Medicago truncatula: one gene and its partners. The main gene of each other region encodes a partner of the protein of the gene in region 3 in a complex. Links are inferred from orthologs where the notes say so. Each region holds a gene or a part of one and is shown on either strand. Other genes may lie near its edges.

Region 1 (7,306 bases), on a different chromosome or scaffold from region 3:
TTCAAATACACGATTCAACAACCACATATGCAGCTATTACTTAAATTAAAGAAGCTGAAACTCTTATTGATAAAATGAAAATCATACAGTGTATGTAGGTAGGATTTGCAAGGCATTGAACAAATTCCAGTTCCAGCAAAAACCGTTGTCGCCCATCATCTGGATCCTTGTATATACTCTTTGGCCTAGAGAAAAACAACCATCAGCGCTTAAGTACAGCTCAATATGTCCAACAAATCCCAAAATCATACTTCTATTAATGAAAAAAGAAATTGATTAAGACAGAACAAATTAAAATTTGTAGTATACGGAAAGCCCTTGAAATGGGCACACACTTCATGCTGAATAGAACACAAACACTATTGGTTATAACCAATTTATGCAGGGTGGCTTGAGAGTTCCTCTAAAAAACCAACCAGGCCTGGTAGGCTTAAACTAATAACTTTTCCAGCATAAAGTGCCTCTCCTTATCTTTTGCACCATAAATTAAATTTTCAAACTGTTACCAGATATGCCCATTATAACAAAGACCGATCATAAAAAAGAGTAAAAGAGCAGACTGATCAGAGGGATGAGCTGCTGTCTAAACCCAATCCGAGAAGAATAAGAGACTAGAAAGACCGAGTCTCCAAGTTTTGTACAAGAAGGATGAAAGACGCATCAAGTGGAACAACAAAACTAAAAAATCAGAGACGGATAAAACAGTTGGAGGAATGACAGAAGGGGCATATGCCAATTGGAGAGTGGAGCGATAAAGAATCAGCTCTATTGTGCAGCACTTGTAGGCACTCGTTTCTACTTTTTTTTTTCCCGTCATTCCAACTTTCCTGTTTTCGCTCTCGCCATTAATTTTTTAGGTTTTACCGGTCTCTGTTTTATCAAATTTGTATCAAAGCTCCCAATCCTGGGAGAGTATGAAATCTACAGGAAGGGAATCCTTAGAGACAAATGGACGAAACAGGAAGGTAATTGACAGGAAAAGAGGCTAATGATGGACACTCTAATGCTTGCAGTGAGAGCGGCTGTGGCTTGTCACACAAGGGTTGATCATGACTAATGAGTCGGGAATCACAGAGGAAGGGAAAACATTCTTCACAAAGGCTTAGCCTCACCATCACAAACAATTTTTCTAAAATGTTGACTTTCTGACCCCCCACCTTTAACTATATAGAAATGATTCCATATATCTCTCCATGTTAGAAAGATAGAATACAAGAAAATGAGAGAATGTTATCAGAATTCATTATAATTGGTTGAATGATAACAATTATACTACTTTTTTATTTATTACAGATACATAGTGTAACAAACTCTAGCCAACTTGAAGCCTGTAGAACAAGCTACTGACTCTAACTAACTAGAAGCTTCCAACAGAAGCTATTAACAACAGAGAAATTCAGCTGTCATAAGACAGCTGTAACACCTACCTTACAGAGGCCGGGCTCAAGGCCCGGTCCATACACTATCTCTAACACTATACTCTCCCGTTGCCATTTGTCCCTTCTGTTATTCCTCCTCTAACTGTGTTTTCTCCCACAACAACTTTTGTTGTTCCCCTTGATACGTCTTTCTTCTTTCTTGTATAAACTTGGAGGCCTACTCTATTTGTCCCCTTATTGTCCTCGGGTTGGGTTGAGATAGCAGACCCACCCCCTTGCTTACTTTTCCCCTTTGCTCCCCTTCTACGATAGACTAGTGTTGTATTGGGCCTATCAATATCAAACACAACCTTAAAAAAAAATGTGGCCATGATAATGTGACATGCAAAAGGCATTGAAATTAAAAAAGATTACAATTATACTTACGGTGATGGTGGGGTATCTCTTGGACTCCCGCTTTCAGTTTTAGAGGCCATGGAAACAGAATCCTCAACTACAAGAACAAAAACACACCTATTTAATGAAATATAATTAGCAGGGTTAGAGCTTGGAACTTTTATATGACCCAGATCACCTTTGAATATCTCTCTTAATATAAGAAGGGAAGATGTTGTGGAAAACTTATTTTTGCCCATCAATGATTGGCTGCCACATATCACTTTTAAGGGTAAATTTTGTCTTAAAATTACTTTTTCTAACTAAATGACCTCACTTAACTACTATGATGTCATTTAACTATAAAAAGCTTATAGTTTGATTTATTTTGCTCTTCAAAAAGTCAGTTCCATTACATGCCAACTATAAGCCAGATTTTGGTTGACACGGAATCCAATCAATGGAGCCAAATTCTCAATTTCAAAATTCAAATTTCAAACAGACTTTATATTTATCCTTCAATACTCATATTCTTTCATTTTCCTTTCCTCTTTTTTCTGACTTATTCTTATCTACATTTTTTCTTCTTTTCATTTCTTTAGCTTCATTTTCTTCTCTCATTGCAGGAAATTCTTTTTAAAAGGAAGAACACAGACAGGTAAAATAATTTCTTTTCATCTTTACAAAACCATGAAAATGATCATTAAACTCATTATTTCTTTAATTTTTTATCTTCATTTTATTGTTGAGCTACATATGACATATTTAACAAACTATAGAATCTTCAACATCACATATGAGGCAAAACAAGAAAATGTATAAAGATGAGAAGTTAAAGAAAGAATACATATCCAAAAACAGTCCTAACACAATTTTACAATTATATCAACAACAAAAAAGCAAATATACAAAATATATTCATTAGAAAATGCTGATGATTGTGCCTTCTTAGTTTGTTTGTTGTTTGTCTTGCAAACTTGTCAGCTGATCTAATGTTTATCCTTTCATTGTCAGGAAGATTCCAGATCACATACGAGCAATAAGGGAAGGAAAAAAAAAAAAAAAAAAAAAAAAAGAGCCCATAAATAAGAGATAGAGGGATGAGCAGCTGATTCTCAGAGTGAAAGAATTGAGAATATGGTTTAGTATCAGTTTGGTTTTATTTTTTTATGCATAACAATTTCGGCTTTGTAAATAAATAAAAAACTATGTTTTTAGTTAAACCACAACAAGTAAAGTAATAGCATAAAGTGAATTTTTTAGAAAGAAATGAATATTATTTGAGTCATATTACAAGAAAATGTAAGTGAATTTTTTGTTAAATCATAACAAGTAATAACAGAAAGTGAAAAAAAAAATTCTTTTGATTTACAAATAAAAATTTTATTCTTCTGTAAAAAAAAAATCCTAAATTCTGAAGAAAAAAAAAAAAAGGCTGTTCTATAGATTTTTGTTATCAATCTGTAGTATAAAAAAAAAACAGACTTTTTTATCAGTAGCATCAGAACTAAAAAAGATTCATCTACAAAAGAAATTTTTACATCTCTAGAAATAAAACAAAATCACATCCAATTTCATATTTGTATTGTTGTTGTTGCATGTAATGGAAACAAAATATGTAAAGAACTTGACCTTGATGAAGACAACAGCCCAGGTTTAAGTGTTTGTGTAAAAATTCTGACCCAGATCGGGATGAAAACACGTAAGCTCTTTCCCGGCGCGGTGGTTGCAAGCTCCGGCGTGGTGGTCACCGGCGAAGGTTGTCCGTTCCTGATTTTTTTAAATGGGTTTTGTAGAGAAGATGGAGGGGACTCTTTTTATGGTGATGGATTTTCAAAAGCTTGTGCGTGGATGTCAAGATCTAGCCGAAAAGATGGTCGTAGGGAAATTTAAAATCATCTTTGAGTTGAAATAAATTTGATAGAGTATAATTACAGATGAAAAGGAGAGGATGAAGATGGTGGAGCAATGTAACGACTGCCGGAGACACACTGAAGGAGGGAGGAGGCGGCGGCGGCTAGGGCTTGTTTGAGAATGAGAGAGTTTTCTAGATTTCTTTGGTGAAGAGAGAGAAAATTAACTTTGAAATAAATATGGTGTGTGTGGAATAAAGTTAAATGACAAAAAAATAGGCTTAATTGCACTTTTGGACCTCTATCTTTCCAAAAGTTGCGGTTATGGACCCCTAACTAATTTAAATACAAAACAACCCCCTATGTTTTGATTCTTTAGCAGTTTTGGACCCCCAAGGCAAAAAAACAAAAAAAATATTGACACGTGGCACCTCACTTAGGGTGCCACGTCAGCGTTGACCGAATCAACAATGTACTGGGGTCCAAAACTGCCAAAGAATCAAAACATAGGGGGCTGATTTGTATTTAAATTAGTTATGGATCCATAACCGCAACTTTTGAAAAGATAGGAGTCCAAAAGTGCAATTAAGCCCAAAAAATAAAATAAAAAGAAAATTATAAAAATATACTCTAAGTTTGTACGAGATAGAAAGGGGTAAAGGGGTATAGACTTTTGAGAATTGCTGTTCCCACATTACATAAGGTTGTGCCACACGAGTAAATGACGTTTTTGCCCCTGCGGTAGTTAACTACCGAAGTTTGAAACCGGCTGCAGTTAACTACCGAAGGTCCTTCGGCAGTTAACTGCCGACGAAAAAACGAAAAAAAAAAAAAAAAAACATCGGCACTTAAGTGCCGAAGAACTCATAATATTTTTTTTTCAAGATTCTCTTAGACTTTCAATTCCACACTACACTGAAGTGTTTCTTACATATTTCAGAAATAATGTGCTTGCCACTTTGATACAATATACTCCCTCTGGTCCTATTTACAAGAGACAATTTACTTTTTAGATACATCAAATAATTTATGTATTTGGTTTATTGACTAGATACATATATTATTCAAATCTAAAAAGTCAACCTTCTCTTATAAATAAGATCGGAGGGAGTAGTATACAGTGGACCATATTAGACAAAGACAATATTATCAACAGGAGCAATTCTTCATTAGCTTTTGTGAAAGTAAATAAATAATTCTACTAATCACAATAGGCTTAACATCTTTCATATTTAATTATACATAATTGCATGTGTAGCATTAGTGCATTACACATTTCTTTCTATATAATATATTGTTAGTAGTAAGTTTTCATTATTTATATTTATCTTGAATGAAATCATGAGATAGTAAGTTTTTAATATTTCCAATTGTGGAGGTTAAAGTCTAAGAGAATCTTGAAAAAAAAAATATTATGAGTTCTTCGGCACTTAAGTGCCGAGGTTTTTTTTTTTTCGTTTTTTCGTCGGCAGTTAACTGCCGAAGCTGCAGCCGGTTCTAAACTTCGGTAGTTAACTACCGCAGGAACAAAAACGTCATTTACTCGTGTGGCACAGCCATATGTAATGTGGGAACAACAATTCTCTAGACTTTTTTTATTGCAAAATTAGTGTAACATAATAAAAATAAAAATAAATAATTTCTTTAAAAAAATAATTATTATTATTATTTTATTTTATTTTTATCAAATAATAAAAAAATAGTAGTAGTTTATTTAACCTATAAAAATATAATTTAATAAATGTTATTTTACATACGCGCGCATATATATATATATATAACGACGTGTTTTTTTACAAGATCTAAAGACGTGTTGTTACATTAATTAATGAATATTAAAATTTAATTTTTTAATATTCATAAAGACATAAGGTAAATAAATTTCATTGTTACATAAAAATAACGGTAAAACATTGATCGTTTGATACGTACAACATATCAAAGAGAGTAGTATTAGAAAAAAGAGTGATGTGTATGGATTTAAAGTGAGGCAGTAACAGACGAGATATAAATAGTTTAAGAGACAAGTTTTAAAAAAGGAGTAAAAAGTCAATTACCCCCCTGAAATTATAACTTTCGTCAAAACCCCCCTGAAATTGTCAAGCGTCTGTCAATTACCCCCCTTCGTTAACTTCCTCCATCCAACATGCTGATGTGGCCGTTAACTGCCACGCGGCGCTGACACATGGTCAAAAAAGTCATGCCACGTCATAGGGGGGTAATTGACTATATTTTATTTTATATAATATATGAAGGAAAATTTCGAACAAAAATAAAATAAAATAAAATATAGTCAATTACCCCCCTATGACGTGGCATGACTTTCCTGACCATGTGTCAGCGCCACGTGGCAGTTAACGGCCACATCAGCATGTTGGATGGAGGAAATTAACGGAGGAGGTAATTGACAGACGCTTGACCATTTCAGGGGGGTTTTTTACATTTTGCAAAATTCAGGGGGGTTTTGACGAAAGTTACAATTTTATGGGGGTAATTGACTATTTACTCTTTAAAAAAGAGTGACAAAATATAGGCTTAATAGGTCATTTGGTCCTTTAATTAATTTCAAGTTTTGATTTTTGTCCCATAACTAATAAAAGTCAGGTTTTGGTCCCTCAATTGTATCTCCGTCGGTCAAATAAATCCTTGGCTGTTAAGTTTAACCCCAAATGTCTATGATGGATTACTTTTAGAGTGGTCCACCATAGATCCTATTAAATATTTTAATTTAAATCGTTTGATCTTTATTTTTTAAAAGAACCATTAGATTATACATGTCTATTTTATCTTATGATGTACCAGCAACACCTAACTTTTTTTCCTTTTCTTCATCGTTCTCCCCCTCAACTTCTTCATCATCTTCATCAACATTCTTAAAAAGAAAAAAAAAATCCAAAAACTCATAAATCATCATCAACCAATTTTTCTTTCCTTTCTTCATAATTCTATCTAGCTTCTTCCCTATCCTCATCTCTGAACAAATTTGCAAAAAAGAAAAAAGAAAAAAAATCCAATCCAATTTCAATTCAATTTACAGAAAATCAAAATAAACAACCCAATTTTTTTTTCTTCGAAGAAGAATGAATTGAAATTCGATTAAACAATAAGCAGCATTCACTTATCATTACAATCAACAGCAAGCAAAATTAACAACCCACTATATTAGTTTTTCTTCAATAAGCAACGAAGGATGGTGAGAAATAAACAACCCAATTAGTGGCTATAACATATATTGTTAATATAGAGTTTTTCTCACCATCGTTCTCATTATTACAATCACTTTCTTTCTCTATTCACACCATAGCCACTAATTTTCCCTTTTCTCTCTTTAACCAAACCCTTTTTCAAACAACGTTTGTGTGTGTTGGGGTAATGCAGACTTGTATTTTGGCCTTCTGTATGTTATTTTTTCATTTATGTTCGTTACTGGTAGTGTGGAATTTGGTGGCCTGTGACGGCAGAACCTAACTGCGGTGGCGAAAGCAATAACAATGAAAAAGAAGAGGAAGATCTTAAATTGAAAGATGAGCCTCTTGTGATGTTGGATTTGATTTGACAGAAGAGATTCGAGTGGGAAGGATGAAGAGGAGAATGGATTGGAATGTGAGAGAAGAGAAGAGGCATGAATGGTGATGAAAGAACCCTACTTTCTGGGTTTCTAATTTTTTTTTTGCCATTTATACTTGCCACGTGGACAAA
Region 2 (8,182 bases), on a different chromosome or scaffold from region 3:
AAGAAAAACTACCACATGAGCGGTGGTAACAGTGTACTAACGTGGTGTTTTTTTTAATAAGGTACCGTTTGGTCCGGTTTTTTTTTCAGTTTTTCTACGTTTTTAAGGAGAAGTTAGGCCAAACACAATATCAATAAAGTACCTTCGAAAAAGAGTACTTTTTTTAGAATGCATAAAATTGAATGGAATGAGCTTTAACCAAAAGTTGTTGAATGCTACTTCAAAAAACTATTTCTTCCCAATTTATTTCACAAGCACCTCTCTTCAACTCCCGTCGGCAACCTTTTGTTTTATTTTTTCAATACGCTTTTTTCATCCATTTTATTTTTTTTAACCGGTCCATTTAATTTTTTAATGAGGTTCCATTTAAGTTTATTATCTATTTTTTTAAGGAATTTTATTATCTTTTTATCACTTATATATTAATTTCGATATCTTTTGATCATCACAACCACGCAAATATTTGTATTCACGCTGTCAATGAATGACACCGAATATTTTTATTCCCTTTCTTCAACCACGGAAATACACACACACATTAGTGTTTAGAGTAATACTTTATGTTCCTCTTTCTGTTTTTTTTTTTTTTTGTTATGCTAATGCGTATAATTTTTGTTAGTGTTGTGTAATGCGTATAATTATTTTTATAAAATTTTGATTTTAATTAAAAGTACAAGTGTAGTTGCCTAAAAAAATTATACTTATATATAATTTACACATTTGTATTGTAACAAACTATGCATATCTTTTTCTTATTAAAAAAACTAAACATATCTTTTTCAATGACACCAGCAATGTAACAAATATAATATTATATATATAAATTCTTATCTTTTTTACCAACACTAAAAATATGGTATTCTTATAACAAAATTTGTTATAGAGTATAATTGGAAAAGAAAAAACCAATTATTCTCATTATATATACACACATATACATATTATAGATATGATTGAGCGTGACGAAGAAAGCAATATAAATGAAGAAATCAGTTCATATAATCCAGGAAGAGTGCAAGATGGAGGCTACATGAATAGAGTTAGAAATCAAATAGGAGTTGCGTTGATGGAGAGTAGAAATATTTGAGTTTGTGATGATTTATGTCTTTAAAAAAATGATTATTGTTTTTAATTTTCCAAACTACTATGATATTATTTATGTTATTATTTGAGCCTCCTTAAATTATTTATCCTATTCAAATATTTAACAAGTCGTTTATATGATGATACAAATTTGTATTCATGTTACACAAAATAAACGTCATTGAGTAAATATAGTATTGGTAAAAATATATATTTTATATTTTAAATATTTTTTCCCTTCAAAAAATATTTTAGACATTTTTTTATTAATTATGTTAATTCATAATGAATTCAAAGTTTTTTTATTTATAGACAATGCATAAATATATGCAAGGTCCCGGGTTCGAACCCCAAACACCACCAAAAAATAATAATTCAAAGTTTTGTACAATATTTTGCCAAATAGCTTTTAACTCAAAAATAACTTTAGAACTAAAAAAAAAATAAAGAAACCAAACAGCTTTAACCTTTTTCTTAAAGAGCTTTATTTTAACTTTGTTTTAAAGTAGCTTTTAGACCGAAAAAAAGTCTGGCCAAACGGTACCTAAAAGTGGGTAGTTACTTATAAATGTGGGTAGTTTTTTTCATTAAAAAATAAATTAAATTAAATTGATGAGGATAAAATTGGAAGAAAATATAAAAAGCTATGAGCTCCAAGCTCAAAAGCTACTTGAAATAGCTTCTCATAAAAAGTTATAAACTCATGAGAAAAGCTCGTTAACAAACACATCATATGGCTGTGTTTGGTAACACAAAAAAGCTAGCTTATAGCTTGTTGGATTAGCTTATAAGCTCGTTAGATGAAAATGTGGCGTGTTTGATAACAAGCTTTTTTCATGAGCTTATAGTGTTTTCTGAAAAGCTATTTCAAGTAGTTTTTTGGCCTCATTTGGATTGGCTTATTTTGAGCTTATGTGGGCTTATCTATTCCCATAAGCCTTTTTAAAGGTGTTTGGGTAAATAAATAAAAATAGCTTATCATAGTTTCATAAGCTGTTTATGGCAAATTTCAATAAGCCTAAATTTTCAGCTTACCCTCCGGCTTAACAAAGAACTTATGAATTTATGTAACCTCCTTCGATTCTCTCCGGATCCACTTTTCAAAACATATATTTTAATTATAATATTAGTTATCTTTGGCGGTGCATAGTAACAAAATTCCTATATACTTATCTTACTAAAGTAACACATGTAACTAAGATTTTTTTTTTTTTAAGGAATATTTTTATTATTTTTTTGTTACATAACAAAATGAAAACTGAATAAAAAAAACAAACTTAACTTGATATTTTTTTAAGGACGAATATTGATTATACTATATATATATAATTATAATTAATATATTATAATATTGTTTTTTACATCTTGATTAATTTTATCAAAAAAAGTCTTGATAATTGTGGTTCGATTCTCTGATATTTTTGTTAAATTAAAAATATTTAAAATTTCAATAATTGCTTATGTAATGTCACATCCAAACACTTCAATTTATGTAAATACTTTTTAGTGTACATATCGAAACATAAATAGCTTATCAAGTATAAGAGCTTATGATGTAAACTCTAATGCTATAAGCATCTATATAAGTTGTTTATCCAAACGGGGCCTTTAACTTATAGCTGGTAGCTTTTTATATTTTCTTCCAACTTTAACCCTATTAATTAAAATTAATTATTTTTTTAATTAAACAACTACCTATGTTCATCTTTATAACCGCCCCATTTTTCCCTTAAAAAAATACCACGTTTTTTTTAGGAGCACTTTATATATATATATTTTTTTTAAGGAAATGCTTTATATTTTGCTATAACTAACCTGCTCTACACCACACAAAAAATAACTAGCCTATTTTTTTTTAAAGGAAAAAATAACTAGTCTATTGTACGTTTTAAAATTTTATATATTCTAGCTCACATTTTGTTTCCACCTTTCTCTTATTTTTGGGATTCATAAAGCAGAGATCAAAATTGTCGGTGAATTTTTTTTAGGATTAAAGGTCGAAGAATAATTTTATGGAGACTAAGACCAAAAGTTTGAATATTTATAGGGACCAAAAACATATTTAACTATAATTAAAAATATTAAAAATAAATACATTACAAAAAAATGTGTGTGTCTATATGTATATTAAAAAAAATAAATATGTCATTTTATACTTATCAGTCACTTCAACAACTAATTTTACCAAACACATTATTTTTAATAAGCAAGCTTTTTAGCTATAAGTTATCAGCTATCAACTAGCTTTTCAGCTATCAACTAGTTTATCAGCTATTAGCTAGCTTATAACTTATTTTTACCAAACAGAGCCATAAGCTAAAAAGCTACTGGAAATAGATTCTAAAAAAAAGCTATAAACTCGTGAGAAAAGCTTCTTACCAAACACATCACGTTTTCATCCAACGAGCTTATAAACTAATCTAACAGAGATATAAGCTAACTTTTTTGTGTTACCAAACACAACCTTAGTATCTGAGCAAAAAAGGAGTTTACGTGGAATGAATCGTACATCGAAGGATGTTGGAAGTCCCTTCTTTTATAGACCAAAATGCAAAGATCCAACGAGTGATGCAAAAGGTGTTACATATTCTACAAAACATAATATCATGTCTCTCGAGGTCTCTCTTTGACGGAGAAGGAAAATGTATTTAGTGTTTGGGTTTTGTTGGACATGTTTATGAGCTTTAGCCGGTATTGGACTTATGTTTGAACCATGAGTTGTCGAACACAACCCTAGGGTGCGTTTGATTTGCTAAAAAATGAAGGACAAGACAGAACAACTCTAGTTGTCCAGTGTTTGATTTGTAAAACTGTTTCAGGTACAGGACAAACTGGAGGCAAGGGACAGGACAAAAACTCATATTTTTGTCCCTTACCAAACCACAACACAACTTTTTGTCCCACGTACAAGTTGTCTAAAACATCAAAATAGCATTTTGTCCCTCAAAAATCGTATAAAACAAAAAATTACTCAATGCCATAAAAAATTTGTCCTGTACTGTTCTGTCTTGTGTTGTACTGTTCTATCTTGTACTGCTCTATCTAGTACTTGCTGTTTTGCAAACCAAACACAATATTGAGAGAGCTTCTCATGTATCTAATTTTCTAATTTGTTGTAAACGCATATGTCAAATTTCCATATAACTTTTCTTTTTCATTGTTACATCCCATTTAAAAAAGAAATGCATAACATATGCAAGGTCTGGGGTTTAAACTTCGATCACCACAAAAAATAAAATAAAAATATTCAAACTGGATGTTTTATTTTCTATAGTTTTCGGCTTGAAAAATTAAGTCCTCTCAAAATAATGTATTTATTTTTTTCGTTAACTTTTTGATTTTCAAAGGGACGAGACTTGTAAGGTAAATAAAATTCGATCAAAAAGTGTTATGCAAAATGTAAACTCATATTCTCTAAAACGAGTGTAATTTTGTAACAAAAAAAAAAACGAGTGTAATTTTTTTTTAAATAACCTAATGACTGGAGCTCAGACATTTTAAATGTGGAGAAATGAGATGTTCGGGGTTTGAACCCTGATCGGCATATACTATGTATTGTTCATACCAGAGCTAATCTTATGGAGATAAAACAAACATAATTTAACTTAACACATTATACATATGTGTCAAATGAGTTGTGTTATTTGAACAACCATTTAGGTGACAACTTTGATGACAACCATAAATTTACAAAGAAAAAGAGGTATTGATACAAAACCAAAGCAATAGAGAGAGAAAGTAAAAATATAATACGAGTATGAGATAGAAAGTTGTCACAAAAATTGTTAAAAAATGGTTGTTCAAATATCATTTCTCGTGTCAAATATACTAATATCTATTTTTAGAGTTGTTTTTTTTAGGTGTTAACCGTACAAATTTATTTATGTCATAGTGAGTGAGTTTAAGCAGTGGTTACAGTTTGTATTATTTGATGGGCCTTTACCGTTAAACGAAGGCCCAATCCGAGTTGTACGAAAAAATACTAACCGAGGAGGATCCCACTATCTTTTTGCTACCATCCCCAGCACCAAAAACAGTGCAAATGCAACAAACTCAGCAAGCCACGGCGGCAACTTTCTCAACCCCCACTCCTCCTCCCTCCTCCACCGCCGAAGCACCTCCGAAGCAGGTTGCTCTAGCTATGGACAAACTCGGTCAAGCCGAACGTATCATCGCCGACATCCGAATTGGCGCTGATCGTCTCCTCGAAGCTCTATTCATCGCCGCCGGTCAACCTCATCAAGGCAATAAGCCTCTTCAAGTTTTCGTCAAAGAGAATGCTTCTATGCAACAGCATTTTAAAGACCTTCGATCCCTCGGTATGCGTTTTCAGTTTCGTTGCGTTTTGATTGATTTTGATTTCGCGATTAGGGTTTTGGTATCGTCGGTGTTGTTTGATTGATTTTTTCGATTTGATAGGAAAGGAGCTTGAAGAAGCTGGAGTTCTTAGTGAAACTGCACGGTCACGGAAGGATTTTTGGGGATTGCATATGCCGCTGGTTTGTCCAGATGGTGCCGTTGTTGCCTATGCTTGGAAACGACAACTCGCCGGTCAAGCTGGAGCTTCTGCCGTTGACAGGACTAGGTTTGTTTCCGCTCTTTTGGTTCCTTGTCAACATACCTAGCAGACACCGAACACGACTCAAACTCTTAAACGGTTGTAGTAATTTAAGAAAATAACATAATTGAATGTAATCACATGTGTCGGTACTACAAAGCAACTTACAATTTTCCCTTTTGTAGTTGGTTCATTTTGATGAATGTTATGGATAGGAATCAAATCCAAAGAAAAAAGAACCAATGGAATTAATCATTTTTAGTTAGAAAATATTCTTTTTCCTTTACGAAGATATGCGCATACTTAAGAGTTAAGAGGATATTTTAGTTCTTCGAATCGTAGTATTACCTCCGGAATTCATAACAAGCAGTAGTTATACATGATATGAGCTTTAGCCAAGTTATGCTGCCAGATAACTGCCTCATACGTGCCTGAGTTGTGTGGAAATACAATTAGTACAGGTATGCTAGGTTAGTGTTGTAGATTGTTAGATGCAAGGGCCAAGGTTATATGATAAGAACATGAATAACAATGCCACTTGGGGTGATGCGAGCTCACACATCATATTCAAGCTCTAGTCGGTCCAGTCACATGAATGTGTGCTGATCTTTTCAAGGAAGCACTTACCGGATTGATTATACATTTTTTTTTTTAAAATGAAAGAAATTGGCAAAATTACACAATTTGTCTCTTTAACTTCAAGTAATACTTTCGTCCTTTTATCTTTTTTTTTTTTTTTCCGACTTAATCCTTTATGTTATAAAATGTCATCATCATTATTTCTTTTTTTATTAAAAAAACTCACCAAACTCATAAACAAACCCATTTTATCTTCATCATACAATTCTAGAAATCCAAATTTAATTGAAAAAATCCCTTAAACCCATGAGTCCATTTTCTACATAACCTTAATCATTTATTCCCAACTCATCAACAAAATCAGCCATAACCAAAAGAAAAAAACAACCATAACCAAATTCCAACTCCGTACCCAAACAAAAGAAACAAAGAAAATCGAAGAAGAAAGGGTGAAAAAAGATGAAGATCCTTTTATGTTGTTGGAGTGCTAGGTTGATTGACGAGAGAGAAAATGAAGAAGATGAAGTTTTGATGAAATTTTGCATTTTTTGACGAAGTTGTGAGTTTTGTGATGATTTTTATGGATTTTTGATGAATTTTATGTATTTTGTTTTTAATCTAAAAAGGATAATGGTGTTTACATTTTATAACATAAAGGATTTAATAAAAAAAAAGATAATATAGGACGAAAGTATTAGCTGAAATTAAGTTAAGGGACAAATTGTGTAATTTTGCCAAAGAAATTCTATTAAGGAGCACGAATGGCCAACAAATAAGCCTATGCATGGTTGAAGTTTTGGAAAGAGAAAGCGAGAAAGGGTCTCATATTTTATTGGAATTAAGTAATATTAAATTAGGTTCTTATTTCAGATTTGATTCAGGTGGTTAAGTTTAGTCAGTAGATAATAAATACTCTTGGGATTTGTCGGATTTATCATACTGACTTCTCAATGCTGCTGACCCATGTTACATTAGCTGCTCACTTAGGCTTTTGAATGATTTCAGGTTAGCTCTCAAAGCTTTTACTGATCAGAAAAGACGTTTTTTCCCCCATCTTGATGATGGAGTTGAAGCTAATGAATCAGATTCAAAGAAACGTTGTGGGTCTGAAGAAGTCACATTTGAACCTAAGGAAGTAATGAGTTTTCTAAGGACGCTGCCAGATGTTCTGCAGTCCTTGGAAAAGGAAGTGCCAAATGTGAAAATTTCAACTTTTGAAAGGCTGGACTGGTTAAAATGTGCTTCCACACTCACCTCTTCACCAAATGAGAGTTCTGAGGAACATAACTATCGTGGTTCTAGTAAGCGAAAGTTAGGATCAATGGGAATGGTTGCTCCAGAGAAGGTTGCAGTCATAGAATTGCTGTGCCCTTCTATCTTCAGAGTTGTTATATCCTTGCATCCTGCTGGTTCCATTGATCCCGATGCTGTCGCTTTCTTTTCTCCAGATGAGGTATGTTTATATTTACCATGGTTTGTCTTTCCTAATATTCATTACGGGGTGTGAACTATTTGTTCTGGATATCGTATTATAAATAATGACTCGGCGTTAGTTTTGGGATGCTTATGTATCAGGTAACTGACAATCTCAGAAAATTAAGAAATTGAAAATGTGATTGTATTTACTCATCCAAGTCTAACTGTTTCCCAACCTCCACTCTGCATAACTGCCATGCATGCCTTGTAGCTTTCTCTCTCAATGACCATCTTGGCAGAAAGTTGCAACTCTTATCCCCTCTGAAATTTTTTGATCTAGTGCTTCACATCTCTTCTTTCTCCTCCCATAGACTTTAGTTATTTTGAATCATGGCGCCAGGCCTGTAACATCGTGGTTAAAAATATTTTCACTTTCCTCTCTTTTGAAGCCCTAGTTGATTGAAGTGTCGATTGGCTTTTTCTAAATGAAGCTTGTATGAATCCCATATCTAATTCAGCTGCCATACAACTTAAATTTCATCTTGC
Region 3 (7,866 bases):
AAACAACAATATTCCATCACAACCATTCATGCAAGCAAAACAGCACTCAAAACTGCACAGCTCGCCTTGCGAGCACATCTGCTCGTTATGGCGAGTTCACAAAACCACTTGCTCGCCATGGCGAGTTCAAGGCGAACTCGAGGCGAGTGAAAAATAGGTTCTCTCGGAAAAAATGACATTTTCTCACTCAAACCTCAATACTAAGCTCCCTATTCATCTTTTTAACCTAAAACTTGTTCCAGTCATCATTAATATCATCTAGGTACCTTAAACCATCCCCAAAACATCTTATAACAACTTTTCAAAAATCAAGTTTTGTCCAGGCTTGCTCGCCATGGCGAGTTGGTCTGCTCGCGAGGCGAGCGATGAAGTTGCTCACTCGCGAGGCGAAACATGAATGCTCGCGAGGTGAGCGATGAACTTCTGTACGGGCAGAAAACTGGTTTTTCCCCAAAATCCCATTTTTCTTCAATTCACTCCCCAAATTAGTTTACAGATGTGAGATAACTTACTGTATGCACTCAGAACCTATTTCTAACATCAAAATCATCATTACAACTCCAAAATCAACATTTCATCATAAAACCCCTAAATCCCAATTCTCACCAAAACTCTGTTAAATTCAAATTCAGAAATTAAAGTCTATACTACTGAAGTAAACCTCACCCTTACCTTAATTCAGAATGAAAAATGCACAACAAAAGGATTCTCTTGGGTTCTACTTGCTCTTCTCTTCTTTCTCCCAAAACTGACAGTTTTCACGTACAAAGCTTCTGACATCTAATTCCTAACTTCCCTCTTACTTAACTCCCTTTATTTTCACTTAACTCCCCATTAATTCTAATCAATTTTATTAACTCCCCAAACATCAAAATAATTATTATTTCACACTTATTCTAATTATTATTAAAATAAACCATATAATAAAATATACACACCACATAAATCACCAAAAATCATATATATATATATATATATAGACTCCACATAAATCAAATAATTAAATATGACAACTAGGGCGTTACACTTTTTCTGTTCGCCTCGAACTCGCCATGGCGAGTGCCCTTTTTCCTAAGCTCGCCATAGCGAGCAGATGTGCTCGCGAGGCGAGTTGCCCAGTATTTGTTGGATTGGATTCTGTTGTAGATGGTTGATTTATCTTGATGATTAAGCATGACTTTTATATTGGTGTATTTTTATGGATGTTCTATATTGATTGTAATGGATGCTGGCTGGATGTATGCTTTTAATTAATTAAGTTATACTTGAATGTTGTAAATTGGAGTGGTGAGTCATATACACATATATGTATAGGTTGGGTTGTATGTAGATATACACAAGTGGGTCAGTTGCATAAGCATAACAGTGGGAGAGCTTCGGATCTGGAACGCCTTGTCGTTCAAAGTGGTGGAGTACTAGTTGCTCAAAGTGGTGTTAGTGGTGAGGACTTATGTCCTGAAAATGAATGCTTTAACCATTCTACAGCGGTGAGGGCTACGGTCTTGATTTTGGTACCACATGCATGGTGTTGTTAGAGGAGTCTTAGTTGAGTGGTGATGAGTTGCATGAGTCGTTGAGTGAGTTATTAATTACCATTTGTTGATGATATTGGAATTGATGATATTTATATGTTGTTGATGAATTATGTGATAGGGTGTTAGATTCAAATGATGCATTCTTTATCTATATTATTGTTGTGAATCTCACCCCTTCTGCTTGAAAATGTTGCCCTTCCTATGGGTAACTTGCAGGTGATCCTGAGTAGTTGGTGGTGGCTCAAAGTGTCTAGCGCTCTGATACGTGGGATGAGATTTTATGTGTTTAATTCTTTCCTATGTATCAAATTTTGAATATTGCTGTTGTAGCCCTATTGATGATTGGTTTTGCTTGTTGAGGCTTCTATGCCATGAATATTTATTGGAGATGATTGTTAATTAAAGTTGAATTATTTCGCTGCAAGTTTAATGATGAATTTTGAAGGATGTTTAATTAAATAGATTTTTATATATTCTATTTAAGAAATTTGAAATTGTAGTGTGACATGCCCGTTGGGGTTTTACTCTGATGTTGAAAAATTATTATTTAATTGATTTTGGGAAACGGGGTGTTACAGTCGGGGTTTGAACTCTGAAGCTTGCATATATTATGCATTGCCCCTACCAACTGAGTCAAACTGACAAGGACTTATCCGTGGAAATTGGTTACTCTTGTGATGAGCATTATCAGTAATTAATTTTTTTAAAAAGAAATAAATTAAAATTTTCAAAATGACAATTACGAAATCGTGGGAAGTGTAACCGCCTGTGAGTTTATTGCGGGAACATGGAAAGAGACGTTGGAGTTCGTTTTAACCAGTCTCTTTCGTTCCGTGCACCCACCTCGCGTGGAAGGGGTGTGTCGCGGGTAATTTTATCAAACGTGGTGTTTGAACTTTATAGTGTATTGGGCCTAAGTAAATGGGCCAAAGATCCTTTTGGCCGGTCCAGAACATATATAATTGGGGGTTTTATACTTGATAACTTGCAAATAAGTTGATAAGTGCTAGTGAAAATAATTATAGTTTGGCACTTATCAATATACTCCCTCCGTCCCAAATTGTATGTCGTTTTGGAAAAAAAATTTGTCCCAAATTATATGTCGCTTTACAATATCAATGAAATATTAATGTTACTTTTCATATTATATCCTTAACTATTAATTACTCCCTCTTCTTTCAATTATTTCATTTATCTTTTCCATACCATTTATTAAGGATAATTTTGTAAAACAACTCATAATTTCTCTTCCCCACACAATATTAATTACATTTCTTAATACGTGTGAAATGGCCAAAACGTCATACAATTTGGAACGGAGGAAGTAGTACACAACTCTCTCAGATAAACATCTTACTTTATTAAATCATATACTATCTTGAGTATTAGAATTTTGGTTGGTACACCACCTCCCCTCTATGTGGAACACACAGAAAAATACTTAAGTGGACAAAAGGGTTTGAACATACACACATGATTGAAAAAATATAGAGAGAGAAAATAATTAAATAATATTTCCTTTTTAAATAATTAAATGAAATATAATTTTATATGTGAGTGTCTAACTGATGTGTCTAAATGTTTGTGCTCAAGCAAGTCTTTCTCGTGGAACACATATCTTTGTTCTCCAATATTTAATGGTATCTTGTGCTGCTTCTTAAGACTATTGACATAACATTGCCGAGCTACTTACTGATCTGCATTAAGTATTCAACTTTCTTTTCTCCTAAATTACCTCATAAGTCTTCTAAAGGTCTCACATTTCATTCATCGATCCATTTTCAACATTCATCATTTTGCATTGCACCTTTCAGTTGAGGAATTCAAATTTATGTTCAAATCTTGAAACTTCTCTAAAATTCCAACCCTTTTTATAGCTCATACCCTTTAGTAGTATGACAAATTAGAATTAGATGATAATGATATTATTTTATGGGCTTATAACATTCTATTAAAATAACTTTTGATATTTTTTTAAAGAATCTATTAAACCCACAAGATAGATTCTTCTCTCTCAATCATATTTTTTGGATAGACAAAAATGGTTAATTCCAAATAACATTTTTAAATATTAATTTATTAGCGGAACTATCCCCTTTTTTCTATTGTATTTTGTCATGTTTATATTTAATATTATTCTTGAATTTAAATTAAAAATATATATTAGATTGTAACAGAAAAATACTTAAGAAAATATATTTGTTTTGAGGTTAAAATCTTTCAATTAAAAAATAGTTAGTTTTCAAATTATATATAAATTTATACTTATATTTAACTTTAAAGTTGACCTTATATTTATACGATGCTATAAATTATTAATTTTTTAAATGGACTTTATATACTAGTGGAGGGATTAGTTTATATGTTCTTTTTAATTGTATCTTTTATTTTTGTTAACTAAGCATCATCTACATAGTTTATTTGACTTTACATAGATTAATCATTCGAGTCGGATAAAACTACAATGACTCACATACACAAGCGAAGGTACCAGAATTCAAACCCCGATCATGACATCCAGCCTAACAATTTTGACATTTTTCCAGAAAGCGACCTTCTTCTATTTTTAGAGAAAGCGGTCTTCTTCTATATTTTTTATGATTATCATAATTGTATTTTTTGACTTTGTCTAAATATTTTATCATTTACTTTAATTTTGTTAAAAAATAAATCATTTACTTTAATTAATGTTATCTCTACAATACTCTCTCCATTTTTAAATATAAGCAAAATTGATTTTTTAGATTCTTTTAATTAATGATGCATGTGGTTCATATTATGGTTCATATTATCTAATAGCAATTTTTATGACAACCTTTTTAATCTTATTTCTTATCTATAAAAAATAATAGAGAGGAAAACAAAAAAATCATATAAGTAAGAGAGAGAAAATTATTCAAAAATGTCATAAAATATTCGTACAAATATCATTTTCTCTTAGTTTAATGGAAAATGTTACATGAACACCCTTTATTCCTACACTCCATTGTACACTCCATGTATTAGGGATATTTTGGTAAGTTCATCTCACAACCACACTTTATCTTCTATTTGTGTGGGGTCCAAGTTGCCACGTGTCAGAATTTTGTGTGGATGTAAAGGGTGTATTGCCACACATGTATCATCACTCTAGTTTAATAATACTAACGACCACATTTTGCGTTGTTGTCCATCTGAAGTGGTTCGTTGTCAGAATTTCTTCCCCAAACAAACTAAGGTGAAACTAAACGACTCCGCTGCCTTTGGCCACAGTCATCACCAAAAAGTAACAGAAACAAACTAACAGAACAATTCCCACATTCATTGTATTATTTTTCACTCAATTTCTTTGTAATAATAATAATACAATTTCTTTTTCTTTTCAATTTCCCATATAAACCAAAATCCAAAGCTGTTTTGTGTTATATAAAACCCAATACCTTAATATTCTGTGTGCTCTCTTCTGTTGTTATTTCTTTCGTTTTCGTTTCAAACAAACACTATGGCGGAGAAACAGCTTATCGTTGCTGTTGAAACCACTGCAGCTATGGGACCTTATTGGGATACTCTTCTAATGGATTATCTTGAAAAAATCGTCAGGTTTGTTTTTCTATTCATTTTTCAATCAAAATTAGGGTTTGATTTTTCAACTTTTTTTTTCTTGGAGTTTAGGTTTTTGATTTTAGTGCTGTAACTGAATTGTGTTTTGATTGTTATTGATTATGATTATGAAATGAAGATGAAGTTCTGTTGTTCTTGTAGAAATGATGTTGATTCTGTTTATTAAATTGTGTTGATTGTTGTTAGGTTTGGTTTATTAGACTATATTTAAACATGTTGGGTTCGACGTTTGAACTAATTGCCGGTATTAGTCAAACATGTAAGCTGGATCTGACTCTTTAAAGTGAGCAATTCACATTAGAGTGTAAACCAAGTTATATCAACCATTAATTAACGGATCAAAGATAGATATTGCATGTATATCGTAACAGATCATGAGTTTATCAGAATGATAATCATTGGTTTTCTCATTTTAGAGGATCTAATAAATCCATGTGAACAATTTCGTATGATACTTGGTTGAAATCGATATAGATGTGTCTCTTCTCATTTTGATTCAGCCAGCTCTGTGTATTGGCAGCCTCAAAGTTTGTTGTGTTTTATGATTCGTATCACATGAGTCGGTGCGAATCTTTCTGCCATGATCCAAATGCTTCTTGCCAGTAAGATACTATTCGGCTGTATAGGTAACATTTTGGCGTAAAGCGGCTCTCTTAGCGCTAATGCGGAAAAGAAATGAATCCAGCTCAGAGGATATGGAATTCGTTGAAAATTCCAAATAACTTTTTCCTAAATGAAATGAATTCTTGGAAATGAGAAAGTTAATTAGTCGTGTCTTATCGAACACATTTATTATTCCCATACTTCTAAGCGTAACATTTTGGAAAATCTAGATTTCCCTTAGCGATCACGCGTAAAATCTAGATTTCCAATGGGTAATATGATTTCCTCTCGCACATAAAAACACTATTCTCACTAGATATGCCGTATATACATGTACGCATGCATACTTCAGTCTATATTAATGGCTATATATCACCACACATCTTATGATCCACATGTTTTAACCTACTTTGGTATTCTTACAGGTGCCTTGGTGGGAACGAGTCGACTGGGCAGGTATACATTTTTACTTCGGTGAAAATTTCAGTCTTTGAAAAAAATGAAAGAAAATATTAGTATTTAATGTGTCACTTGACCACTTTTGATTAGTCTTATTTCATATGTAGTGAGTGTATGTTAGTTATTTTCATTGGCTTTGGATAAACATATTGTCTTTCCTAATGGTTTGACGACATAAGTAGCTTGTTATGGAAGTCTATTTATCCAAAGCTAATGCTGCATTTTTAGTCCTTATAACACATGGTATGGCGGTGGATAAAGACTCGGAAATGTTTAAGAACAACTATACGAGTCAATTCATAGCCTCGCTACACTCCAAGCAATTGATTGTTATTTGTTACCTTCAATCTTACCTGAACAAGGCACAATCCACTATTCAGTAGCTTAAGTTGGTATTGTCTAGTGATGATTTATAGAAGCCGTTGGCTAAGCTTGATAATATGTTCATTTCATTCTTTTTATATGCTGGCATGGATGTTTTCCTGTTAACATTATTGCTGGGTAAATATCATTTGCTTTGATGATCAAGTAGGTTGGACCAGACATGTTAGAATATAATAGAGATACTAGCATATACTAATTTACTAGAAAAGGGAAATGCTACTAAGGTCCTAACTCCTAAGTCTATTGCTCTTCAGAAAAATATAGCTTTTGTCTCGGTAGTGCAACTAAAACGGAAAGACCACTCTAGCTGCCCTAAGCCCTCTTTATGCTCACCCACATAATCAAATGCCACCACCTTCATGAACAAATCGATAGCAGATTTGGTACTGGAAAGATATGCGGCCAACAAAGCAACCACTACGAGAAGTTGTAATACAGAGCGAAGCTGTAGTTGTTATCCTGCAATAGTAGACAACTTTAATATAACAAATTCTATCCAACTGAACTAACTATAGGAAAATTCTAGCACAATAGCATGCACATCTAAGCTATTGTTAAACATAGAAACTCATATTCTATCACTAGAAATATCAACTTGTTGTGGTCTCTTCATTGCCTAGGTTTTATGCATTATACTTAGGTCTTCTTTGCTTTTTTTCTCCGATACTATATGATCTGCAGCTCAGGGTTTTGCTTTTAGTCTTTTTTGGTGAATGTCCCGTAGGGAATCATTTGGTAAATGTTCAGATATATGCATTTGTTAGAATCATACTAGTAAAATGTGTTTTTCTTGTTGTCTTGTGTAATGAAGGTCTTGTGATTAATCTATTGATTTTTTTTTCCCCTTCTTTTGCAGAAGCCTTCTGGTTCCAACGTCGAGTTTTCCCTAGTCACCTATAATACTCATGGGTGTTATTCTGGTACAGTTTGCTAATTTTCATAATTCCTGCTTTGTGAAAGCTGTTCATACCATAATTTTTGATAGCTTCAGAATCAACTTCTTGCTGCTACCTGTGTTAGCTGATTTATTTTTAATTTATACCCAGTTACCATATTTAAGTAAACTGTTGCATAATATAATTTTTCTCTAATTTAAATTCAAAATAAATCAACTTCTTTCTGCCACCTGCTATATAATTTAATTTCTCTCTAATTTAGATTTAAAATAATTTTGTTTAAGGTGGCACAGAGTTTTACTTGGTATAATATCCAATAACAAATCATTAAAAAGTAAACTGGTACATATTGGTAAAGAAGGAAACTGATTAAACATGTTTGTACCTAT
Region 4 (8,157 bases), on a different chromosome or scaffold from region 3:
TTACAAAATTAATGCACATACGAGTTATTTTATTTTGCTTACATCTTGCTGAGCATTGAGAGGCCTCTTAGGGACAGTACTGTTTTCAATTTTCGGCGGCATCTTTGGCTCCACATTGGCTTTTCGCTGAATGTTCGAGTTTAACGGTCTTGCACGGCCAGTATCAGCAGCCATTGGTTTATTAGGCCTAGCTGCAGCCTCGTTTTTCTTCATGTGCTGACTCTTGTTGTCCTTGGCAGTGACGGCCGTTTCATTAGATGCCGGAAAATTCCTCTTGTCCTTAGTTTGAGTGCCAAGAGCTGGCTTTCTTCCGTTGTCACGGTTCTTGTTGAATGGTGCACTCTTTCGAATATCTGAAAAAACATTCCCCATTTACAATCATCAATTTAAGACGAGGGGAATTTAGACACAGAACCGTAACAACGAAAGCTAGGTAGACTAAACATATGAAATGCAAATTCAACTCACTTCCATCGTCATCCATGCCATCAAAGAACTTTACATCGTCCAGATATATACAACACAAGGAAAAACCAAAATTCAGTTTCATATATACAAGCCTTTGAAATGTAAGTTTGAGAAGGGAAAAAGGACAAGTATATATACCTGTGAGAGTTCAATCGTACCGGTTGGGGCAACAAAGAAAGCCCCTTCGTCCAAAGGAGGTGAAGGAAGTCCTCCTTCTTCCTCTTCTTCATTTTCAACAACAGATGGATTTCTGGAGTCCGGTGTGCCTTCTTCTGAAGCTACAAACATTCAATAGCATTTTTCCGACATGAATTAATTTTGAAATCGAATAAGAAACCAGCATAGTTGTACTCATCAATACCACACTAATAAGGTCGATAAAAAATTCTACCTGCGACAGGTGTGGTTGTCGTCGCCTTCACCCATGCATTGACCAGTTCTTTCCATCCACTAGAAATTAAAAAACATTAAACAAGTTTAGAATTTGAGTTTGTTCGGTATCCAATTGAAAACATTAACAGATTTGGCATCTCAACTATTACAATGATATGAATCAAAACAATAATGGCCAAGTCATTCACCTATCTAAAGCATGTCATCAATGTTAACATCAAGGACACATGACTAACTAAGAACATGGTTCAAATTAACTAAGGCTTATAACTTGTGACCATGATTATGGAATCGGTGCAACAGTCTGATTAGTTAAGGATAATGATAGTGAATTGCATATTGAACAACACAGCGGCCATGATTATAAAATAAACCACAATCCGCAGACGAGAAACTGAAATCCATGAAAAAACTAAACCATACTCTATGAGAGTCCGTGCTAGTTGACGGATATCCTTCGATCCATGCTTTCTCAGATGATTCACAGCCTTTCCAATTTCAGTTGACTGCACAATTTAATTTCTGATTGTTAAGAGAACAATCTTAAAAAAAGTACTAGAGAAACAACACAAAGTTCCCCCAAAGCTACTAAGAAAGATCAATTCTAACCTTCAGAAGATCGACACAGAGTTGCATCAGTTGAAGCCTCCTCAGAGACTCAAACAGCACCGAGTCAGACTGTAGCAACATGAAACAAGCAATCACTAATCAGTGATCATAAGACACAAATGAATTCAACCTTCAAACACGAACAAAAATGCCATCCAAAAAACACCATATCAAGACGTATCCTTTCCAAGAATCACATCACACATTCATGAAAATTATAATTCAAAGAATCAAGAACTAATGCATCAGTATGCAAACAACAAAGAAAAAGAAAAGACTATACCTCATCTTCATGGTTATTGAGAATCTCTTTAATCCTCGTAACCTCAGCAACAAGTTGTGATTGCTCTTCAAGTTCATCAGTTAAAGCTTCAGCTTCTCCAAAGCTGTAATTGCTAATAGGGTTAGCATCCATCACTCCATTTTCTTCCCTACTGCAATCCACCTTGCTCTCTTTGCTAGCACCCTCTCTAACAGAACTTCTCTTGCAAAGTTCATCACCATTATCATCATCAGGCACAGACAATTCAACCTTCTCACACCCCTTACAACGATTCAGCATAACAGAAAACAATCTCTCAGCAATTCCATCTCTCCTAGACTTAAACTCCTTTGGACAATCAGAAGCAGCAACAACAATTGCATGGTCAATTATATCGAAAATATCCGAATTCGATGAACGAAAGTAACTCCTCCACTGATCAAGTGACTCTGACTTCATCTTCAATCCCAAAACAACAAAAAATTCAATCTTTCAACAGCTAGATCCAAATATGTTATAATAAACAATCACCCACGATTCAAAACTCAATTTTTTCTCACTTGGGTCATTGAAAATCGGTTTGATTCTTCTTCAGGTATTGATCTTGAACCCTGAATAAAACAATGACGAAAGAATGATCAAAAGGGTGAATATTTTAGTCTGAAAGAATGATAATCAAGAATCAAATTCTTGGAAGTTTGTAAATTTATTAACTTTAATTTAAATTTGATATTCTTGGGTATCCCATTTAGGAAAATTTGATTGGATCAATGTTCGGTAAGAAAATTGGATATGATGATGATATGGTTTTGGAACAGATTCGGTAACAAGAAACAACATAAACCAGAAACAAGAAAACAACATAACACGCATATATGATAACAAATTACTACGTTGTGTGTTATGTAAAAAATATTGTATTGTTTCACATTTTTCTGGTGTGAATAAAAACCAAAAACCTCAAAAAGAAGAAATAACCTTTTTGTTTTGTTTTTTAAGGTACAAAAAAACATCTAAAAAAAAAAAAAAGAAGCGAAATTTAAGGAAAAAATAAGACACCTGAAAAATCTAACAAGAAGAAACTGCAGATTCAGTGTAACAAAAACAAAAACATAATCATAATAATATCTATCTACCTATGTAGATTGTAACAGCTTTTTTTAATGTATACGTAATGTTGCACTATGATGGTATGGTATATGAATAGTCCAATACCGCGTGCGTATGAAAAACTTGGTACTTTTGTTTCTCTTCCAACAAGAAGAAGTACTTTTAGAGAGAGAAAAAAGGGTTTTATGAATTGTGATGATACCTTTTGGTTGTGTTTTGACTTTGATCGAAACAAAATTTGGTTTGGAGAGAAAGATTAGAAAAAGAGCAACAGAAGATGTGGAGAAAGAGAAGTGCTAAGTTCTGTCTCTTTGTGCTACTATTTTTTTATTTCATATAATATATCTAGGGTATTTTTTGGACTGATTTTTCTTAAAGAAATTTACCTATATTTTGGGCCCATAAAAAATATAAGAATATACCTCCCTAAAAAAAAAAAAATTATATTATATTTCTTATCAAAAAACAATTTATATTATATTTATGATATTGTTGATATACTCCGTAATCGAAAAAGATAAACATATTTTGTTATGTTTGTTGTAATTTAAGAGTCACAAATATTTATATCTATATAATTTCTTCAAAACAAATATTTATACTTATATTTTTAATCAAAATCAAACTCTTATATAAAACACTTCTTTATAATCTATAAATTTTAACACAATAAAAAGAGCACTTATATTTGTAAGCAAAATCAAACTCTTACATAAAACACTCGTTTATAATATATAAATTCTAACACAATAAAAAGAGCACCTATATTTTTAATCAAAATCAAACTCTTATATGAAACACTTATTTATAATCTTATAAATTTTAACACAATAAAAAGAGCATAATGTTTGTCGATTCATTACTTATATATAATTTTTCTCGTTATTATTTTGTATTTTTTTAATTTGACTAGTTTTATATTCTATTTTCTATTCAACAGGTTTTTTTTTTCAAGTTTTATCATTATTATTTTGACAAGAATGGTTCAATTTTATATTCAACGGATTGTTTCCATATAATCTTATAATTAATATGGTGTTTCCATATAAATAAAAATTTACCATACAAATGATAAAATTAAAGATAAGATTATAAAACTCACGTCTAATAGATATTTGTGGAGATATTTTACGAACTAGTTTAAAAAATAGCATAATCGGTTATAAAAAACAACATAATCGATAAACATACACTTTATTAATGAATCAAATCATTTACGGACGACAATACGAAAAAGGTATTTCCACATATGAAGGCATAATCAAGTAATTTGATTAAATTTATGTTTAAGTTTTTCTTTAGACGGAATGTTCGTGTTTGTTAAATCTAATAACGAGTAATTTGATTGAATTTATGTGTAAGTTTTCCTTTTGATGAAATGTTCTTGTAAGTTAAATCTAATAACGAGTAATTTGATTGAATTTATGTGTAATTTTTCCTTTTGACGGAATATTCGCATAAGTTAAATCTAATAAAAATGACTTAATTTTTTTTCCGGAATAAAAATGATTTAATTTAAGACTTTGTATACAAGAATTCAACTAAATCAAACAATAATAACATATTTTTAAGTTACTCCCTAAAAATATCTCTAACAAAATATATTAGTTGATTTGATTATTTACTTTCTTAAAATGTCTCTAAAGATAACTAATTGAATTTGATTGAATTCTTGAGTAAAAAAGATATACACGGAATATTCATAAAAAACAATAATCTCTCAAATAAAAAAATATTATAAGAAAGTAGGTAGTGAATGTGGTGCGATATAGATAGATAGGGCCGAGAAAGCGGTTCTGAAGGAACGAGTTATGTGGGGCCCTAGACTCGGTGCTTAAATACAACCAAGTTTTTGTGAGTTTTCTTTATTTTAATCTCATATTCTTCGAACATATCCAAATCTTTCTGTTTAGATATAATTATTAGCAAAAGATTTTACTCTATCTTTTCTTATGCATAGTTTTATTTTTTTTTAAGTTTATTCGGTATAAATTAAAAAATTACTTTGATTGATAACCAAGTTTTAAATATAATTTTACCTTTTTTACTCATTCACTCATTTTATCATTTCTTCCATATAACTAATGGAATGACGAGTATTACCATTTTTTAAGTATGTGTTTGTCTGTTTATATTTTTTATTGTATGAAAAATCATAAATTTATAAATCAAAAAGTCAGAAGAAGATAAAATCATAAATTTGAAACTTAAAAATTCATAAAAAAAAGATCGAAAAGACAAAATTAAAACAAAAATAAATAATGGATCTAACTATTATCCGAAATTAAGTTGATGATTCATAAAGTATCAATTCAATAATAGGAGTTTTATTTTATGACTTAAGGGACCAAGTTAAAATTTCAGGTAATTTTTGCTAATACATAATTTTATTCAAGACCAAAAATATTTTTTTGGTAAAATAACACAATTAATTTGAAATTGAATAATGGTTTATTTTTAATATTATTTTAATTGTGCACATAATTATAGTCAAAGACTAAAATAGTTAATATTATTATAACAAACAAAAGATGATATGACCACAAATTTTATAAACAACAAATAAACTTCCTTTTTATTAAAGAAAAAGATTTAGAGCGAGAGGAAGACGCTCGGTTTAAGGTAAAAGAAGATCTTTTGACCAAAAGAACAACTACAAATATATTTATATTTATCTCTCTTTAAAGATACTAATAAGGCTCAAACCTGAAACGTTTAAACATATCTAAAAAATCTTCCTTCCTCACATAAAAATTGTTTTATTTAATTATTTGACACCGCTTAAAAAAAATGTATAAATAAAAAAAATCTTTTAATCGGGAACTTCATTCGTAATAAACTATAACAGAAATAATACTCTGAATTAAAAAGTATCATTAAAATTCCATCACTAAGTTAATGATTATATTAATTTTTGGGATCAAATTTGAGACCTTCTTTTTAAAACTTATTCAATGTTCTTTAGTTCTCTTATCAAGCTACCTTCACGAGTTACTAACTATTCAACTTGCATAACTAGATAACTAACTACCTCAAAATATACGTACATATTACATGGACAAATTTTAATAAAAATGAAAGTAAATAATTGGTTAAATTTAACATGTTCAATTTTTATTTTTTGAGTAAATCACCAATTAACTACCTCAAAATATACGTACATATTACTATTCAATTAATGAAGGTTTTGAGCTAAAAAACTATGGAAGAGTGAGTATCATCAAAAGAAAAAGCTGTGGGTGATGGACACATAAAAATGGAAATGGGTAGGTGGTGGTCAAGAAGTTGACGTGTTGTTATTTGGAAGTGAGAGACTATGGTATGGTGGTGGCGGCGACACATCAAGTTCACTGCACCGTCACACATGATTTTGTGATACAAACTTTGTACATTTATTTTTTCTTTCGCACTGATTTTTGATCTATTAAAGGTGGCGACTAATCTGGCTCGTGCATAGAGGCATGTGCACTGATCAAGTGTTATTTTTCTTAGGAATTGAATTCGATATTTCTCGGATACGTCAATCGAAGAAGCTTCTTGCCACTGAAGTCCAAATAATTTGGTCCATACATTTTTTTCTTTACGGTATGGAGGCTATATTTATGCACTATAATTGTGAAGAAGTAAAAAAACTTTGTACATTTTTTTTATACACTCCGGAAAATGCTTAGAAGATTTAAGAACATTATTAAGGTCTGTTTGATGTTCAGGATATGATACAGGTAAGATATGATATAAAGTTAGATGGAGATAAAATATGATAATGACATGATAAACATTAATCTTATCATGTGTTTGATGCGCACATGATAACAAACAAGACATCATTATAATTAAATTAAAAAATTGCTCTCATAATTAATTAAATATTATAAAAATGGCATGTTATTAATTATAATAGAAAATACATGCAATCATTATTTTAAAAATAACAATATTATAAAAATGGCAGAATATCAATATAATAAATAAATAAGGAATGATCTTTTTTATAAATGTTTGTAACTTTTAAAATATGAAATCTTACACTACAACATTTTTAAAGAAAAAGTTGTTTACGGATATAATTAGAATACTAAAAACACGAGTATTGGGACAAGACGAAGTGATTAATTATAAAACAGTTAGTTCATTTCGCAAAGTAAATGGTACACGAAAGAGATTTCCATAAAAGAGAGGTGGGTCACTTGGACCTCTTAAATGCTAAGATTTTCCTCGCCAGAATCTCTCATATGTGACATTTTAAGAGCCTTCGAAACAATATCGATAAGAGCCTTCGAAAAGCATGAGGAATCAAGTTGGTAATTAGATAATTAATTATTTTCAAAACGTCTTACATATCAGCCCTACGCGTAAAAATATATTGAAAATACATTATTGTGCACATTAAAAATGTAAAATTGAACGAAATTGTGATTGATTTATTTTTGCTACATATATTCAGATTGCTTCACAAAATATATAAAAAAAACAATCTTTTATTTTAAATCAGACGTGTAAATATATTGAACGAAATTTTTTCTTCAAATTAAAGTCGTAAAATTTAAAACAATTTTTTTTATAAAGAAAGAAATTTTCATTGATTTATTCTTTTTTTCATATATTCAGATTTGGTCCGAAAATATATTGAACAAAAAAATTATTTCAAACCAACAAGTGTAGATATACTGTCTCAAAATTTTGAACAAAAAAGTGGAAATATACTGTCTCAAAATATATTGAACAAAAAAATTATTTCAAATAATCCTTAAAAAAAATTATTTCAAATAAAAAAGTGTAAATATATTGAGAAAAAAAAATTCTTCAAATTAAAAAGTGTAAATATATTAAAAAAAAAAATCTTCAAATAGAAAAATGTAAATATATTGTCTCAGAATATGGTGAGCAAAAATTTTCACCAAATTAAAAGTGTAAAATTGAACAAAATTTTCATCGATTTACTTTTACTACGCATATCCAGATAGGTTCCCAAAATACATCGAACAAATTTGTTTACTTCAAAGTAAAAAGTAAACAAATATTAGAAGGATAGAACAAAACAATTACATAATTCCATTGGCTTCCACGCAGTGATTTTGTAGCTGAATTGATTAACATATTTTTATACACAATCTTTATAAGAATTAAAAACAAACACTTGATTAAACAAAATTAAGCAAAGAGATGCATCCGACTTTCAAACGTATCACCATATAATTATAACATACTAGCATAGATCATATTTGAATTAATGATTCAATTAACGAGGCAATTATGTTATTGCTATGCGACGGACTGGTAAATATTAGAAGGATGGAATCTGATTATAAAACGAC

The links.
Region 1: mediator of RNA polymerase II transcription subunit 25 (region 3) and mediator of RNA polymerase II transcription subunit 31 share a complex: the UniProt entries of both Arabidopsis thaliana proteins name them as parts of the mediator complex. The link is inferred for Medicago truncatula from reciprocal best matches to the Arabidopsis thaliana genes PFT1 and MED31.
Region 2: mediator of RNA polymerase II transcription subunit 25 (region 3) and mediator of RNA polymerase II transcription subunit 27 share a complex: the UniProt entries of both Arabidopsis thaliana proteins name them as parts of the mediator complex. The link is inferred for Medicago truncatula from reciprocal best matches to the Arabidopsis thaliana genes PFT1 and AT3G09180.
Region 4: mediator of RNA polymerase II transcription subunit 25 (region 3) and probable mediator of RNA polymerase II transcription subunit 26b share a complex: the UniProt entries of both Arabidopsis thaliana proteins name them as parts of the mediator complex. The link is inferred for Medicago truncatula from reciprocal best matches to the Arabidopsis thaliana genes PFT1 and AT5G05140.

The regions. Positions count from the first base shown.
Region 1 is NC_053042.1:49,976,855-49,984,160, reverse strand, and holds the start of mediator of RNA polymerase II transcription subunit 31, read right to left. Parts: upstream 3,087-7,306; 5' UTR 2,015-3,086; coding exon 1,954-2,014; intron 1,893-1,953; exon of another isoform or gene 1,873-1,892; coding exon 1,806-1,872; intron 1,730-1,805; exon of another isoform or gene 1,460-1,729; coding exon of another isoform or gene 1,428-1,459; intron 186-1,427; coding exon 88-185; intron 1-87. UniProt on the Arabidopsis thaliana protein: Component of the Mediator complex, a coactivator involved in the regulated transcription of nearly all RNA polymerase II-dependent genes.
Region 2 is NC_053048.1:50,166,474-50,174,655, forward strand, and holds the start of mediator of RNA polymerase II transcription subunit 27, read left to right. Parts: upstream 1-5,055; 5' UTR 5,056-5,125; coding exon 5,126-5,402; intron 5,403-5,502; coding exon 5,503-5,668; intron 5,669-7,225; coding exon 7,226-7,673; intron 7,674-8,182. UniProt on the Arabidopsis thaliana protein: Component of the Mediator complex, a coactivator involved in the regulated transcription of nearly all RNA polymerase II-dependent genes.
Region 3 is NC_053046.1:24,549,206-24,557,071, forward strand, and holds the start of mediator of RNA polymerase II transcription subunit 25, read left to right. Parts: upstream 1-4,699; 5' UTR 4,700-5,016; coding exon 5,017-5,114; intron 5,115-6,163; coding exon 6,164-6,194; intron 6,195-7,437; coding exon 7,438-7,501; intron 7,502-7,866. UniProt on the Arabidopsis thaliana protein: Component of the Mediator complex, a coactivator involved in the regulated transcription of nearly all RNA polymerase II-dependent genes.
Region 4 is NC_053048.1:41,746,312-41,754,468, forward strand, and holds the start of probable mediator of RNA polymerase II transcription subunit 26b, read right to left. Parts: upstream 3,169-8,157; 5' UTR 3,045-3,168; exon of another isoform or gene 2,792-3,044; intron 2,344-2,791; 5' UTR 2,302-2,343; coding exon 2,293-2,301; exon of another isoform or gene 2,192-2,292; coding exon 1,754-2,191; intron 1,540-1,753; coding exon 1,471-1,539; intron 1,368-1,470; coding exon 1,285-1,367; intron 919-1,284; coding exon 860-918; intron 747-859; coding exon 607-746; intron 497-606; coding exon 469-496; intron 354-468; coding exon 43-353; intron 1-42. UniProt on the Arabidopsis thaliana protein: Component of the Mediator complex, a coactivator involved in the regulated transcription of nearly all RNA polymerase II-dependent genes.